Linked DNA regions of Lepisosteus oculatus. The protein of the gene in region 1 interacts with the protein of each later gene in a biochemical or structural test. Links are inferred from orthologs where the notes say so. Each region holds a gene or a part of one and is shown in the gene's direction. Other genes may lie near its edges.

What was found. The genes of interacting proteins can lie anywhere in the genome.
Region 2: the proteins of glmna (region 1) and fkbp4 form a complex in vitro, tested with the Homo sapiens proteins (2 studies listed by BioGRID). The link is inferred for Lepisosteus oculatus from reciprocal best matches to the Homo sapiens genes GLMN and FKBP4.

What each region holds. Positions count from the first base shown.
Region 1 is NC_090704.1:1,685,425-1,693,069, reverse strand, and holds the start of glmna (glomulin, FKBP associated protein a), read left to right. Parts: upstream 1-4,637; 5' UTR 4,638-4,725; intron 4,726-4,726; exon of another isoform or gene 4,727-4,787; intron 4,788-5,087; exon of another isoform or gene 5,088-5,108; intron 5,109-6,003; 5' UTR 6,004-6,046; coding exon 6,047-6,085; intron 6,086-6,339; coding exon 6,340-6,465; intron 6,466-7,582; coding exon 7,583-7,645. Other genes in the region: putative RNA polymerase II subunit B1 CTD phosphatase rpap2, read right to left, coding at 1,311-1,346, 2,271-2,359, 2,722-2,787, 2,924-3,022, 3,491-3,605, 3,983-4,028, 4,560-4,611.
Region 2 is NC_090702.1:11,471,037-11,478,368, reverse strand, and holds the start of fkbp4 (peptidyl-prolyl cis-trans isomerase FKBP4), read left to right. Parts: upstream 1-4,327; 5' UTR 4,328-4,666; coding exon 4,667-4,759; intron 4,760-7,332. Other genes in the region: ATP-dependent DNA helicase DDX11, read right to left, coding at 11-162, 855-941, 1,192-1,422, 2,343-2,471. UniProt on the Homo sapiens protein: Immunophilin protein with PPIase and co-chaperone activities. Component of steroid receptors heterocomplexes through interaction with heat-shock protein 90 (HSP90).

The sequences.
Region 1 (7,645 bases):
AAACTAAAGTTTCTCAGAACAGGCCGTGCGCTACGGCAGCAGACCAGTATTCCCAGTCACGGACAAGCTGTCGGGATTAGGAGATGAAGGCAGCTTGCGAGCTGCGGCCGCCTACACACTCCCTCTCCTCTGTCACCGGACGTTTTTTTTCCCCATTTTCAAAGTTCCGAAAACTGTTAAAAAAACAAATCACCACCCCCCAATGAAAAGCACGAAAGCAAACACACAGCATGAGGTAACCGGCTGCCAGCGACGTGTTTGCCTTGCGGTTTGGCCGCCGCGGGCTGTCATCGCTGGGCAATAGCGCGGAGCGCCGCCCGCTCAATCCAACAGTTCAAACACGCCTCTCCTCCCATTCACCGGCAAATCTGGACGCGTATCCGAAAGCTCCCCGATCAAAAAAAGCAAAATCGGCTTTGTGTACAAGCGGGGCGCCACAGGAAGCCCGTGCTTGCTGTCGATATAGTGTTACACGGACGCCCGGGCCAGCTCAGCAGCTGAGGCACCTCGTCACGTTCCGGCGGCAGGGCGCATCGCAGTAACTCAATACTCTGCGATTCTCCTCTGCTCCAAACGCAGTTTTTCTTCATTTATTCGTTGTTTGTTCCCCCCCAGCTCACTGACTGGTAGCTCCCTTCGAAACGGGGACGGCGGCTGGGGGAACGGGTCATGTCCCTCCGAGTTTCGCACCATTTCGCGGCCATGTGCGTAAATATCTGCCCTGTGTGAGATCTGTTCACGCTGCTCATGTTTATGAGGAACTAAACTCTTGACAGTATGCCGCAAAGAAACGCAAAAATATCGACCAAGTCGGACGCCACTGAAAGCTCGCGATTTCCGGCAGTGCCGACAGCGTCGCCGAGCAATCCGAGAGGTATTGAACAGTATTACCGAGGTGATTGATAAAAGCGGGACCGGTTCGTGCGGCCGGAGGCGTCACTTTCGCCCAGGCCGCCGTTTCCATTTTAGAGCTCGGCGCGGAGTCTCGGTAGAACCGCACAACCGAGCCCCTTTAAAACAAGTGGAGCATTCCTTGTTCGATCAGACAGTCGGTTCAGGCAGCAGTGTTTTGCAACATTTTGAAAAGTACACTCATCTGAATCTCTTTTTGGAGTTGCGTTTCACGCCGTTTCACATTACACAGGGAAGTGGCCTCTCCAGTATGACCTCCACAGTAACAGGTTAAAATAGTCGACATACAGATTCATACTGCAGCCCTCAGAATAACTAGGTAACCAAAATGTTTCTTCTGACCGCCCCAGTACTTCCTCTCCCCTGACAGGAACAAAAGCGAGCTCTTAAATACATACCTCTCGCCCTGCTTCATTAATGTGACATCTGGGAAGCTACAACACAAAACGGAAAGGGTAAATAAGTTACTTCCGTTCAGCCATGAAACCAGGCAGCTTATATGCCAGCAGAGGGGAAACTGGCTTTGCAACAGGAGAAGGATGAGCTTTGAACTGAAACTGCAGGAGCAGTTATGGATCCGAGCTCATAACTGCAAGGCTTCAGCCTCTGCAGTTTCCTGAAACAAGATTTCTAGGTTCAAACCTTGGATGAGGCATTGAGGTCTGTGTGCGAGGCCTCTCACTTGGATTGTGAGAGTAAGCCACCAAGCTGTATCAATGAGTATAAAACTCGTTCTCTTTGCATAAAACCATCAGATAACCTAAATCAGAAGAAATCCCAAAGTACCACAACTGTTCCGGCAACAAAATGATGCCTTATGACGAAGGCCCTTTGACTGAAACACTGTTGAATTCGTCTTAGTTTTCAAAAACCTCTCCACTATAACATCACAATTCTGCACCTCTCAATGTAATGGTTTTGGGTAGCCTTGAGGTTTGTCAAACTGATCACAGATATAGAACCCGTCGATCAAAAAAAGAGAAGATCAACGGAAACAAAAGTACGATATCAGTGGTGTGGTTGACAATGACGATGACAAAATGCTATTAAACAGCAAAAAGCTGCTCTATCAATAAGAGCTGATGCATATCTATACAAGTAAGACACAGTGGAGCCTTCTGTCAGTCACTTGATCCCAGAGAAGGCCAAGGTTACTTTCTTAAAAACCGTTGAAAGGTAACAAATGAGAGGCCACTCGGCCCATCTTGCCTGTTGGACAGGGATTGACCCCGTCCATCTGCCTCGTGAAAGAAACTGGGGCGTTGGCACAACGACATGGCTGGGTAGCTGGTTCCACACCCACCCAAATCTGTGGAATAAAGAAGCACGTCTTTCTTGCACCGTGCTGCTGCCATTACCTCTCCTCTTCTCGCGACCACAGGGGAGTCTTGGGGATCTGGCCTTCGAAATACTTTGATGCTTTGTAACAAAAGTTACTGCAGAAACACTGAATGGGGGGAAAAAAAACAACTGTGTATCAAAACACAGGTCACACTTACATAGCAATTTATTTAAAAAAAATCATCCTTTATTTTCAGATACTTTCTGCAGCTTTTAGTGAAAGGAGACAAGAGGTGTTGCTCCCATTTCTTGCTGGAGAATCCAAAGTCTTTCACCTCCGAACTAAGAGGGGAGCACAAGACAGCACAAAGAGAGCGTCACGCACTCTTCAAGCACAGGACACAGGAGAGAACTCCGCTGTGTGTTCTAGAGTTGTCAAATCCACAAAGATTATGACAAAAAGCCACCCAAAACATTCTGCCGGAGTATTTTTTATTAAAAAAATCAAAACAAAATAAAGCACCTTACCTTCCGTTCTGTGATGTCATACACTTTATTCGTTCTGGTTGAAATTTTGTACTGCTGCTTGGGAACCTGTCATTATGAAAAAAGAAGATACATATATAGAGATTTGACAAAAGGGGATTTTAGAAGACGAACACATTTCTGGTAAACAAAAGAGACAATGTTTAATGTCTCATAGATGTGTCTGAGCAGTGTGAGGTCTTACGTTCACAAGTTTGTTCTGACAGACAGGGTAGCCACACAGCTTGACTATAGATCTCTCGTCCACGACGTCTCTGTAGTTTCCTGGAGTAATGGACTTTGCCTGGAATGATAAATAGTGACCCATTAGGCAGACGGGCAGCAATTTTGCACTACATTACACACACTGCTCCAGATGCGTCTGTGCCACAGCTGTAGTGCAGGTCCGTTGGCCGCAGCTGGTAAACCTGACCTCCCCTCTGTGATGCACTCTCCGAGAGCGAAGGTCAGCCTAAACAGAGGCCAACAGACGGGGTGCGGAAGCCCTGCGGCCCCAGGCGAGCGACTCTCATCTTTTCATCCGGTCCGCTTCGGGAATCGGCCTCCCGCCACCTCGGATCTGAGCGCCATCACGCTCCCCACTCCCCCTCCCTCCGCCCCTCGCGCCCAGAGCAGCGTGGGGCGGGAACGTGGAGGCGGCCCCCTGCTCCAACCCCACGCTCCTCGCGGCACCTGTCCGCTGCGAGCCCGGGCCCCAGGGGGAGCCGAGGGCAGAGCGAGGCAGCACGCGGCCCCCCGGGAGGACACCCACGCAGCCCAGCAGGAAGTCCTCCGTCACGCTGTCCTCCAGCAGCTCCTCCACCAGGCGCAGGGCCCTCTGCTCCAGCTGCAGCTTCCTCCTCACGGCCTCCTTCAGGGCCTCCTTCCTGCGCGGGGTCAAAGGAAGGGGCTGTAAACCGAGGCCCAGGCTGGCTCAGGTACGACCGCTTCATCGCAAGGTATGGAGGGTGGGAAACAGTGTGAAACACGGTGCGGTTGAAACGAAATGGTTCTATTTCTGAGCCACCGAGTGCGGCTTTCATGTAGCAATGGTTATATCTGGAAATGAACGAAATAGACTAAATAACTTCACACTGAACCGAAGCCCGTGGAAGAACAATGGACATAAGACTGAGGGAAAGGAAGTAGGAGCCCCTTGAGGTACTGACTGTCAGAATGGGTCCCATTTCTGCTCAGTTTAAGTTTTCGGGTTTTTCACGTTGCTGTCATGTCCCAACACTGCACAAGCCCCGCAGTCCAGTACCTTTTAGCAGCTTCCAAGGCTGTCTGCGCCTTGACCGCTGTCCGACCTGCAAAACACACGCATTGGGTCACTGCTAACGGACCGGCCAAGCGCTCACACCTCCGCGGACGCGCCCTGCTGAGCACGGCCACGTGTTCCCGTCAATAATCAGGGAACAGAAGACCGTTCACTGTACGCGTCACGTCCGGATCAGCTGTGAAGGGCGTGCTGTGCGCCCGCGGGCTTTCGCGGAGGAGCTGCAACGCTGCCTTTAAGGTTGAACTCCAAGGCTCAGTTCAAAGGTCGCTACGAGGGGTAACACGTGTAAGAAACAAGACCTCTAGCACAATTCACGCACCCAGGAATGTGCTCTGCTTCGGTGTTTCGACAGTGGTCTACAGAAAAACGAAAACCTTATTTATACCTTCGGCTTCAGACAGAGAAACGGCGCACTCTGTGCTCCAGAAGGGGGTGTACTGGGCGGGGCAGTATTTCAACCCGTCCCTCTTAATCACTGAGCTCCCAGTGCCTGATGTGGCAGAGGTGAACAGCACAGGGGAGGGAGGGGGGAATAAAACTCTGCATTAAGCCGACTAACCTTTCTTTCCAGGTCCCGCTGACCTGCCGGCTGCTCCCCGACACTCTTCCATGCTTGTTGTTCTTCCGCTTCACCTTTGACCCGTGACGTAGGGCGCTACGGCTCGCGGACAGGGCCAGCGCCGGCGCGCGCACTTCCTAAATACACGCGCCGCTCCTGCCTGTCTGTAAGTACAGCGCCTTGCACAGAGCAACACCGTGTCTCTGCTCTCTGTCTGCTACACGATGGGTAATAATAGCTGGTAGTCAAATTAGATCATCAGTCACGCATGTGTCCGGGAAAGACAGAGGTCTGTCGTTTTGATACAGTTGCCCTGCCATGACAGCGCTTCTTTGTTTTGGTCTTTCGCGCAGCATCATGAAAATGTGGCGACATGCATTCGTGATATTTTTATCGTCCAGGATAATTAGGCGCAAATAAATCGTTCAGCTGTTTTTAGCCCATAGCCACGTGGTTGGCAGACTTTCGCAGACTTTGACGTGCATTCCAGACGCGAACTACGATCATCATGCTTTTCCACTTGATGATCTTGCTAAATATTCAGTCGTTGTGAGTTGTGTGCAGTGACTTGTTGTCTGTAACTGTTTGCAAATAATTGCTCTTTTCTAGATGTTTCCGGGGACACCGGGGACAGCTATTAGTCCATCTTTAGGACAGGCAGTGCTGCTCCGTGCTCGGTAAATCCTATTAATCCGCACACAATAGAAGGCAACACAGTAAGAGGTTTAAGACCTCTCTGCTGACCTTGTCGGTACCGGCTTTGCTTTCTGTAGACAGATTACCTGGGAATCGCCCGCAAGAGTAAAGAAACTTTTAACAAATATCAGGGAAAAAGAAAGACGGCGCTGATTAAAATGTGGTGTCTTGTACTTCTTTTATCAAACTATCGGAAGGAATAGGATAGGAAACTCTCCTCAGTTCAGAGGTCAAGACAGCTAACGTGCGTTGGCATGATTTGGCTTAAAACGTGTGACTGGGATCCACTAGGGGCAGTGCTGTGGGAATACGGGTATGGTGGGGTTAGTCGACTCTCTGTGACCCCGCGACCCCTGTGACCTCCCAGGTGCAGTTGTTGGGGGACACGTCCCCCCAGAGATTGCTGCTGAACCTCAGATATAGGGCTGTGCTGCTTGTACCCTGTTATAAACGCACAATTACATAAATCCACATCAGGGTGTCCAAGATCACTGGCGGTTATCATATTACAAATGTCTGATGTTTACATTTCAATTTCAGTTCACACAAAGACACGGTTCGAGTTGGGAGGTATTTCAGGCACCTGTGACTGTTCAGCATGTACGTCCAATCCCCCTCAAATGACACGCCTGTCCACATTTCAGGACAGCTGGCATGCGTTGACCAAATGTGGCTTAAAAGTTTGCGTTGAGCTCTGTGGTCACGGGTTCGAACCCGAGTTTCAAATGTCTCTTTTTAAACCCTGTAGGTGCTGGCACTGAGGGGGGCACCTGGACCTCAAGACGCTGAAGATGGCCTTAGAGCAGCTATATGACATGTTGCAGAGATGTGTAAGTACCGTCAATGAAGCGGTTCTGTAGTAATAGCTTTCACTGCTGAAAATAACTTTTTAAAAACTTTTCCCAGCCGTTTGCTTCAGTACCTGCTATTGATAAGATTCACTCAATAATTCCACCAAAGGAAACCTCTCAAAACTCTTAATTTCAAGATTTGGGATGACTCTTCTATGTCTGCGTAAGTCGATGTGCTGCTAATTTGGTGCTCCTCCAGCTTTACACCCTCCCTGCCTGCTCCCTGTCTGCAGCAGGTGCTGGCTGACGACAGCTTCAAGCCGGAAGACTACGAGCAGTTCCAGAGCGCGGGCCGGGCCTGTCTGGAGCGAGGGGGCGCGGCACAAGTGCTGGAGGTCGTGCAGGATGAGAAAAACAAGGTCCGCCTGCACATGCCGAGCTGAATGGTGCACGTTACGTCCAACTCCCGAGCAATACCGAAACAGAGCTCTGACAGCACTGGGAGCAAGGCTTTCAAGATGTCCCCACCAAAGTAGTTTGAAGGGGAGGAAAGCACATGGCTGCTCGGTACTTGTAGTGTCCCCTGAAGATTTCGGGTTCTAACAGAAAGGCATAAGAGCGCAGCACCTAGGCTTTGCTGCAGGGTTTAAGAACTGTTCCATGTGCCTGGCAGTGAGAGCCACAGCCTGCGCCATGGCTGTTACACCCTGCTGTTGATCCTGAGGTGCCAGCGGAGAGCTGCAGGAGAGTGTCTGATTTCTCGCTCCACTGGTGTCCTTCAAGGGTGCTCCAGTGTTAAACGGTTTTCTTGTATTTAAACTGCCTGGTGTTCTAATACTGGCTGTCTGCCTTTCACAAAGGAGCAGATGCTTTTAAAAGGCACATTTTCAAAATCCAATTGCTTCAGAGCACAAATCAGAGGTCTCTTAAAACACCAGGCTGTAATGGTAAGTCACTTATAAAAATGAGAAACGTCACATATGGCAGTGGATTGATTTATATTGAACGAGCAAGATTTTTGGTTTTCTGGAAACATCTTGCACATCAGAGGAGAGAATTAAAACCTGTGCCGCTGCTGTAGCAGGTGGGCTTGCAGCTTGTGAAGGGGAAACAATAGCAGGGAGACGCTGGATTTCTTAGCAGGGCTGAGAGGGATTCGTTCCAGGCCCTCCCTGAGGCGCCCGGGAACGAGGTGCCGACACCTGCTGTCGTATGTTTGAACCGGTAAATGTGCAAGTTTGAAGTGCAGGGGACCCATTAAGGCCCAGACACTGCCGGTTCGGGCCTGTTTCCGGATGACTGTGACAGGCGGTCCACCAGGAAAAGCCTGGCCAACAAGGCCAAGCCCCCTGCAGCAGGGCAGCGAGAGACACACAGCGTCTACAGGGGCAGGTCGGTCTCCGGTCAGGAGCCGTAAGAAAGGGCAATTTAGGATGGGGTGGGTACGTCATCAGAAATATTGGTGAATTAATGATTTGAGGAATTAAAAAAGGCGTCCGATGCGGCGTGGCCCTGAAGAGAACTGTCCTCTTGCAGGCGATCGTGAGGAGCATGGGCTGGAACCTGCTGGGCCCGCTGGTGCAGGTCATCTTGCAGAAG
Region 2 (7,332 bases), on another chromosome or scaffold:
CCCAACCCACCTTCTCTTCGGCACTGCATTATCATCGTCGCTCTCATAGACGGCCACAATCACCTCTTCTTCCCCTTCTTCAAGGACGTCACCACCCTCCGCAGTCAAGGCCTCCTTACTGAGCTTCAGCAGGCGAACTGCCTCTTCATCCTCACTGTCTTGCTAACACCCATGAAGGTTAACATTCATTAGAGGAAATGTGACTCCAAATCTGTACAAAGGGCTACACATTGATTCCAGATCTGTCCAAAGGGCTACACATTGATTCCAGATCTGTACAAAGGGCTACACACGTGCTACACTTTACTGTTGCAAAACAGGACTTGCACTCAAACATGCCATACAAAAACAAGATTAAATTTGTATTACTCACATTTAACAGCAGCAATGCTGCTCAATATCATTAACTCAAAACATTGGATAAAGTGTAATTACAGTAGATATTTATCAACAGGACATTTTGCTAAGATGATTTAAGACATTAAAACGAAGAAGAAACAAGGATAATAATATTTTACCTCCAGCATTAACTGAAACCCAGAAAAACACACATTTTTAATTCAAGTGACTTTAATGGACAATGGTTCTCCTAATCCATCTATGACCAACACGTTAACTAACTCAGTGCCTCCCTCTGTGTAACACACCCTCCCCTTACTCAAGCAACACCAAAATAGGTTTTGCTTAAACAGCTCTGAGCTAAAATGACAATTATATTAGTTATTAAACAAAACACACAGAAAATATTTTCTAAAGATATGCTTCATTAACTGGCACAGAGAAATGAGCAATAAGCGTAGTCTTTTGTCTAAAGACCACTCCTGAGGAGCTGGCAAACCCAGCGACAGTCATACCTTGCGTTTCATTGTGTATTTGAGCTTAGCGTTACGTCGCATCAACTCCAAACGTTCTTCCCTTCTCTTCCTCTTCAACTCATCCTCCTAGACAGAGAAAAGAAAATCAGGATATCTCCTCATGTAGTTTCTTATGTAAAGTGAAAACAGATGTCAAAGGAAGCTTTGATGCTTCAGTCAGTCAGTCCCATTGGTATTTTGGCACTGCTAACAGACGCAAACATGCCTTGTGGAACTGATTATATTTTTTACTGAAAAGTTCCTGATCTCATTATTCCCTAGAGAGTTCCCAATCTTAATCCCTTTAAACTGTTTCTTCAAACTTTTTTATTAATACCTTTAATTTGCTGACCAGATCTCTCTCCGCCTTCTTCTGCACGAAGTCTGTGATCCAGTTGGGCTCTGCAGAGTCTGAGCTCTCCTGGCTCTGGGAAGCCTGTTGGCTCCCTGCAGAGCTGTCTGTAGCAAGGTCCCCAGACTCTAGCAGGCGAGCTGTCTCCTGCCTCTTTCTCTCCTCGTAGTCCCTCAACCAGGTGAGGGCACCACAGATCAGACTGAGAGACTTCCCCTGGAACACAGAACAAGTGGGTCGGAAGCTTGCTCAGCTTCAAAAAGATTGAGGGTGTAGCTTATTCAGCTAGCAGCTCACCGTGCAACTCACAACTGGCAATCTGCTGAAGATTAGCCTGGCCAGTAACTGGATGGGAGACCTCCTGGGAAAGGACGAATTGTAAAACCAGGGTCCTGACTCTGCGTGGTCATTAAAAATCCTAGGGCCCAGGGCGTTTCTCAGAAAGAGTAGGAGTGTTACCCCGGTGTCCTGGCTAAATTTCCTCCTGGCCTTTACCAATCATGGCCTCCTAATAATGAATTTGTGAAATAGTGCCGCTCATTCTTAGTTATACAGTAAATGCACTTCCTCTTTATTTCCACTTGTGTCCTTTGGTTTGGGTTTCACTGTTTATTGTGAAAAGCCCACTTGGGTTTACTTCATCAATGCATTTTAATTAGCAGAATTCCCCTCTTTCAGGAACAGTATATACCCCTTTTTTAACCTAGATACTTCAAACCATATTATCCAAGTGAGAGTCCACAGGCAGCCTATTTAGCAAAATGTCTTTATGTTGAATATGTGATATTAAAGATTATATATTTAATTTAGCTGACATTTATTAAGCATGACCCATGTATATAAAGGGAATAATGGAATAACCAAAATCTATGTTTTATGCAGAATATATCATATATTGACAGTCCTTGAAAAAATCCCAAAAAAGATTCATAATGAGAGACCTCTGAATTCACACACTGGAAAGCTTACTCTGTCTCAACATTAGGACCTAACAGCAATTCAGGAGCTGACAACATTGTGTATCAGGCTCACTTTACTGGAGACAAATAATGACTGTGTGAACATGTCAGCAATATATAGTTATTATTCTTTGAGCTGGACAGGGGTAAACCATGGAAATAAGACAATTAACTCACTGTTCCAGTAGGGCTCTCAAAAATGCCAACCTTTCCTTCATCTAATGCAGTGTACAAAGCCTCCATGAACTGCTTCTGGATGGAGTATGGTTGGTATGGAAATGGGAACTGTATAGGTCCATCTGCCATCTTGAAGCAGACTATGTTAAGAAAGAGAAGTAGCACAGAAAAGAAGCACAGAAAAAACACATAAATCATACTTTATTCTGTCCTCATCCCCATACATGGAAGCAAAGGGCTTACACATTTTGAGTACAAGTGTACAGAGTACCCCATACTGCTCTAGTAGAACTGCACACAATGACACAGACTCCCACGAGGTGGTCCACTAAGTAGAGGAGTCTGTCTAGGATTGTACAAATGTTATTGGGGTTCTTGTCTCATGACTGTCAAGATTTACACAGGAACTGTGTACTAGGCCACCACTTCCAGAGTAATCAGCACTGTTGGATAATTACCCCCGGCACAGAAACAAGTTCCTCCTGGAGAGCTTTCTTGTATTTTCTGTCAAAGGTTAAACATCCTCCACTGAACACGATAACCAGCCGATGCCCAAAACCCAACTCACACCACCATAGACTTTAATGTGTTCTATAGATGGTCTAAGAATTCAGTCCTACCACATTGCAACAGTATAGTGAAACCTAAGACAACAAAGTTTTCCAGGAAACGTTTGAAAAAAAATGTCTCTGTGCTTCCAGTTTTCCTAAACAAATGCAGCCTCAATGTTATCATAAAATTTTAAACATGGCTATAATTATAAAAAACTAAAGATCCATAGTGATTACTCCGTAGAAAACTATAACAAAACTCGCAAGCATAATCTAAATAAGATGAGAACAGTCATCAAATGAATGGATGCCTTAAAGTTCGGTCTAATTCTGAACCGGATCAATGACCAGCCAATCACCGCTCGTGTGACGTCAAGATCGTCCAATCACTGACTGCAGGTCAGACATCAATGGCAAGATATTACGTTTAAACAAGCAACTTCTAAAATTAAACCCATTGTTTAACATTGATTTAACGAGAAATGATTAGTTCCCTGTTTGTCTTCCGTTTGTCTTCTATGGGTAAGCAAACTCAATTATCAAATATATAAACATGCATAAAATCCACCGCGAAGATTGACCAATTCAGCACACAGCAATACACGGACATAAATATACTCAGCTACTTGTAAACGTAAGGAATAATCTGTTGAAATATTCACCGAGTAGTGTGCAGTACGATAGCCGCTGTTCTTGCTGGAGGGCTCACGCTGTTGCAAAGAGCGCGCCAAGTGCTGGGGTAAAATCAGCCAATCACAGACACCCCCGCGATGAACGGAAGGGCTCAGATTACAGCCGGGTTAGGCAAAAAAGTGTTAGTCATTACCCCCAACAATTAAACATATCAATGATTTATTCAAAGCATTCATTGGAATCGTTTTCTCATCTCACAATTCATATGAATAATGCTCTGTGTTGTTACACATACAAAAAATGTATGTGTAATATAGATCGATATATCGTTTTCCTTCTTTTCCAAACTGAACCATTTAAGAGAAAAGGGAGTGTCTACAAAGTTTTAGATCAGGTAAATGAATTAAGTCCTTTAAAAACATACCTACTAACTGTTTGGATTAATGTTTCGTTTACTTTCAGTGCAACAGCCGTTGCAAATTTGTAAACTTGATGATATTTTCAGAACAGGAACACGATTTACTTCCATTTCTTTTCCTAAAACTCATCCATTAATTGTCAGCCCGGTGAAACAATCCTCGCTACTGAAATAAACATGCGTTTAACCGTTTAAACATTTAAACATGATGTATATTCATATTCCCCGCAGCACGTTAAAACCATGAGAAAAGTTTCTGAATTTGCCTAAGCTGCTAATGCACAAGAAGGTTTGCGTTTTTTTCGCGTGTGGAGATATTGGAAGCGACCCCTGGCGCAGGCTACAGTTCAGCCCGGCGCGGCTCTGGAAAGTTCTGTGCCCGTCCTCCTTCGGGGAGCTTGATAGACGGCGCTCGACTGGCAGCCCTGCAGTACGAAGCACACCGCGCGTAGTTCGCAGACGCCTCTGATGCGGACTTTTCGGAACACTGAGATTGCTCTCTGATAAGAGATTTTAAGTCGGCTGCGATTTAAATATATAGTTTATATTTTGTAACAATAAGCTATTGCTTTTGTGTGGATCGATTCCGACACAGGAACAAGCGGCAGGTTTATATCGCAGGTGTTTAAAATTGATTAAAGAGAAAGGGGGTCTGGCGATATCTCCATTCTAGCTACTGAGATCTGAGATTCGGTTAGAATTGCCGTTACAGGTCAGGCGAAATGACTGCAGAAGAAGTAAACGCCGAAGGACAGCAAACGACCCAGATGGAGGGGGAAGACATTACCCCGAAAAAAGATGGAGGAGTTTTAAAGGTAAATAATCTGAATGTATAAAGTGCACGTAGTAGTAGGAAGAGTGATTAATAGCTATTACATAGCTGACTCGTTTTTAATAACGTCTTAATAAATGCGCTTAGTCACCCTGCTGCTAGAAACTCGGTTTTCTGTGAACATGTAAGCCTTTGATTTCCCATAACGTTTTGCATAACTCTATGGTTTTATCTTCATTTGCTCTGCAGTTGGCCCGGTGATTTTTACGTATTTATCCAGACCTTAATAATCGATTCCTAAATACCAAATTGATTACCATAATACTTGGTAAAAAAAAATGAATGGGTATGTGGCTAGTTTGTATGTAAAGGGACGGATTTTTACTCTGACTTTGCAACGTTGAGGAGCTATAAAACCACTCGTAAATACTGCATTAATATTATTAAATAATATCTCGGGGGTCGCAAGGGCAAGTGAAAATTTAGAATGTCCTTATATTCCATGCCTCTACGTTGAGTTGATATTTAGAAATGTTCTGCAACTTTTCTCAGTGCAACCAAATCAGAATTTACTTTCTCAGCAACTACAGGTATTAAGACTTAAACGTCGGAAAGCGAGTAAATGTCACCAACTTTCAAACTGCAGAAAGTACACTGCCCTGGACTTTTCGCACTGAAAAAGTATTTGCGCAGTCACCTTCTTAAATCGTTCTGCAGTCGAATTGTAGCATCTTACTATGTGTTCCACCAATGCCTTCCCCGTTTTTAGACGAATTTAGTTTCATTGGCTTTGAAATTTGAGAATTAATGACTTCCTGCCCTCTTTGTTGCTCTACCGCCTGCGTGTCTGGGCGCACCGCGAGTGTGGTGTTGGTGCGGCTGGAAGCTCCGAGGGTTTTCTAGAACACTGGAACCCCCACGTGCAGGATCTGTCCACGCCGAGAGCAAGATCGCTTCCGTGTCAGTGTTCAGAACTAAGTTCACAATGTCGTGTGTTGACAGGCTTCCTATTGACCAATAGGAATATTGTAATATAATAGTAGTAAACGTCCGCATACCAAATAAATCTAGAATTTCAATCCATTTCAGTTTCTGGACTGTTGGCTGTGAAGTTAATTGACACCTCAACCTGCCAAACCTGAATTCCATATGACAGATCCGTTACAGCGCTTTGAGAAGCCACCTTTAAAGGCGCTATATAAAATAAAGTTTATTATTATTATTTTAATTTTAAGAAGGTGATAAAAGACCTCTTCCTTATTAAAGCGTTGTCTTAATCTATTACCCAGAATTGGAAGATTAATCTTAAAATCCACCTGTTTAACTGGTAATCCACCAGCTACATTTTTGAAAGAAGGTAGATACCTTTTTAAAGATGATAAGTGGAATCAGTCAAACCAGACAGGAAACAGTTTGTGCATCTGTTGAAGATTTTAAACATACTACATTAAAATTCTATACAACATTGAAAACACATGATTAGTTTGAAACTTAACAAAGCATTAAATGGAGAATTAGGCCTAGTGGTTATCTATTAAGTTAATCATGAACATTTATGCTATTTTGTTAATCTTGGACAGTTTGAACTATTGTTTTTCAATGCTTACATATAGTTTTACTTACTGTCAGATTATCCCTAATGTACATGATTGGATGTTTTCATTATCTTTCAATGTGAAAATTAGCATAAACATAATAAGAGAACAAATGTGTTGGAATTGCTTAAGTTTTATTAACATTTGCCATATATGAGCAGTATTATTTATTTGTATTCGTTTTGATTCTTAGGTGATGATAATGAGATGACTGTACAACACAGCATAGCATGTCCCTTTGTGTTTATTTTGTTTAAAATTACCCATTACAGCTCTGTGTACAGCGTTGTGATCACCGTGGTCACTCCTAGACCAGAGTTCTGGGCAACCTTTGAGGCTACCAGGTCTCATATTGTGAAATAAGGTTATTGCAGTTGCACTTGTCTTTCCACCAGCCTCAGGAGAGTGGCTGACCCTTTAGCATAGTGCATGTTTCACACTTTGTCTGCTTCTCAGAGGAGCCCAAAATGGTGATCCCATGTAAGATCTGTCCACATGGTAGTAGGTGTCATAATACATAATAATAATAATAATAATCATTGCTTACACTTACATAGCGCTTTTCTGGACACTCCACTCAAAGCGCTTTACAGGTAATAGGGACTCCCCTCCACCACCACCAATGTGCAGCATCCACCTGGCCATAGTGCGCCAGAACACTCACCACACATCAGCTATTAGTGGGGAGGAGAGCAGAGTAATGAAGCCAATTCATAGATGGGGATTATTAGGAGGCCATGATGTAAGGGCCAATGGGAAATTTGGCCAGGACGCCGGGGTTACACCCCTACTCTTTTCAAGAAACACCCTGGGATTTTTAATGACCACAGAGAGTCAGGACCTCCGATTTACGTCTCATCCGAAGGACGGCACCTGTTTACAGTATATTGTCCCTGTCACTGAACTGGGGCATTAGGACCCACATGGAGCGCAGGGTGAGCGCCCCCTGCTGGCCCCACTAACACCTCTTCCAGCAGCAACCTTAGTTTTTCCCAGGAGGTCTCCCATCCAGGTACTGACC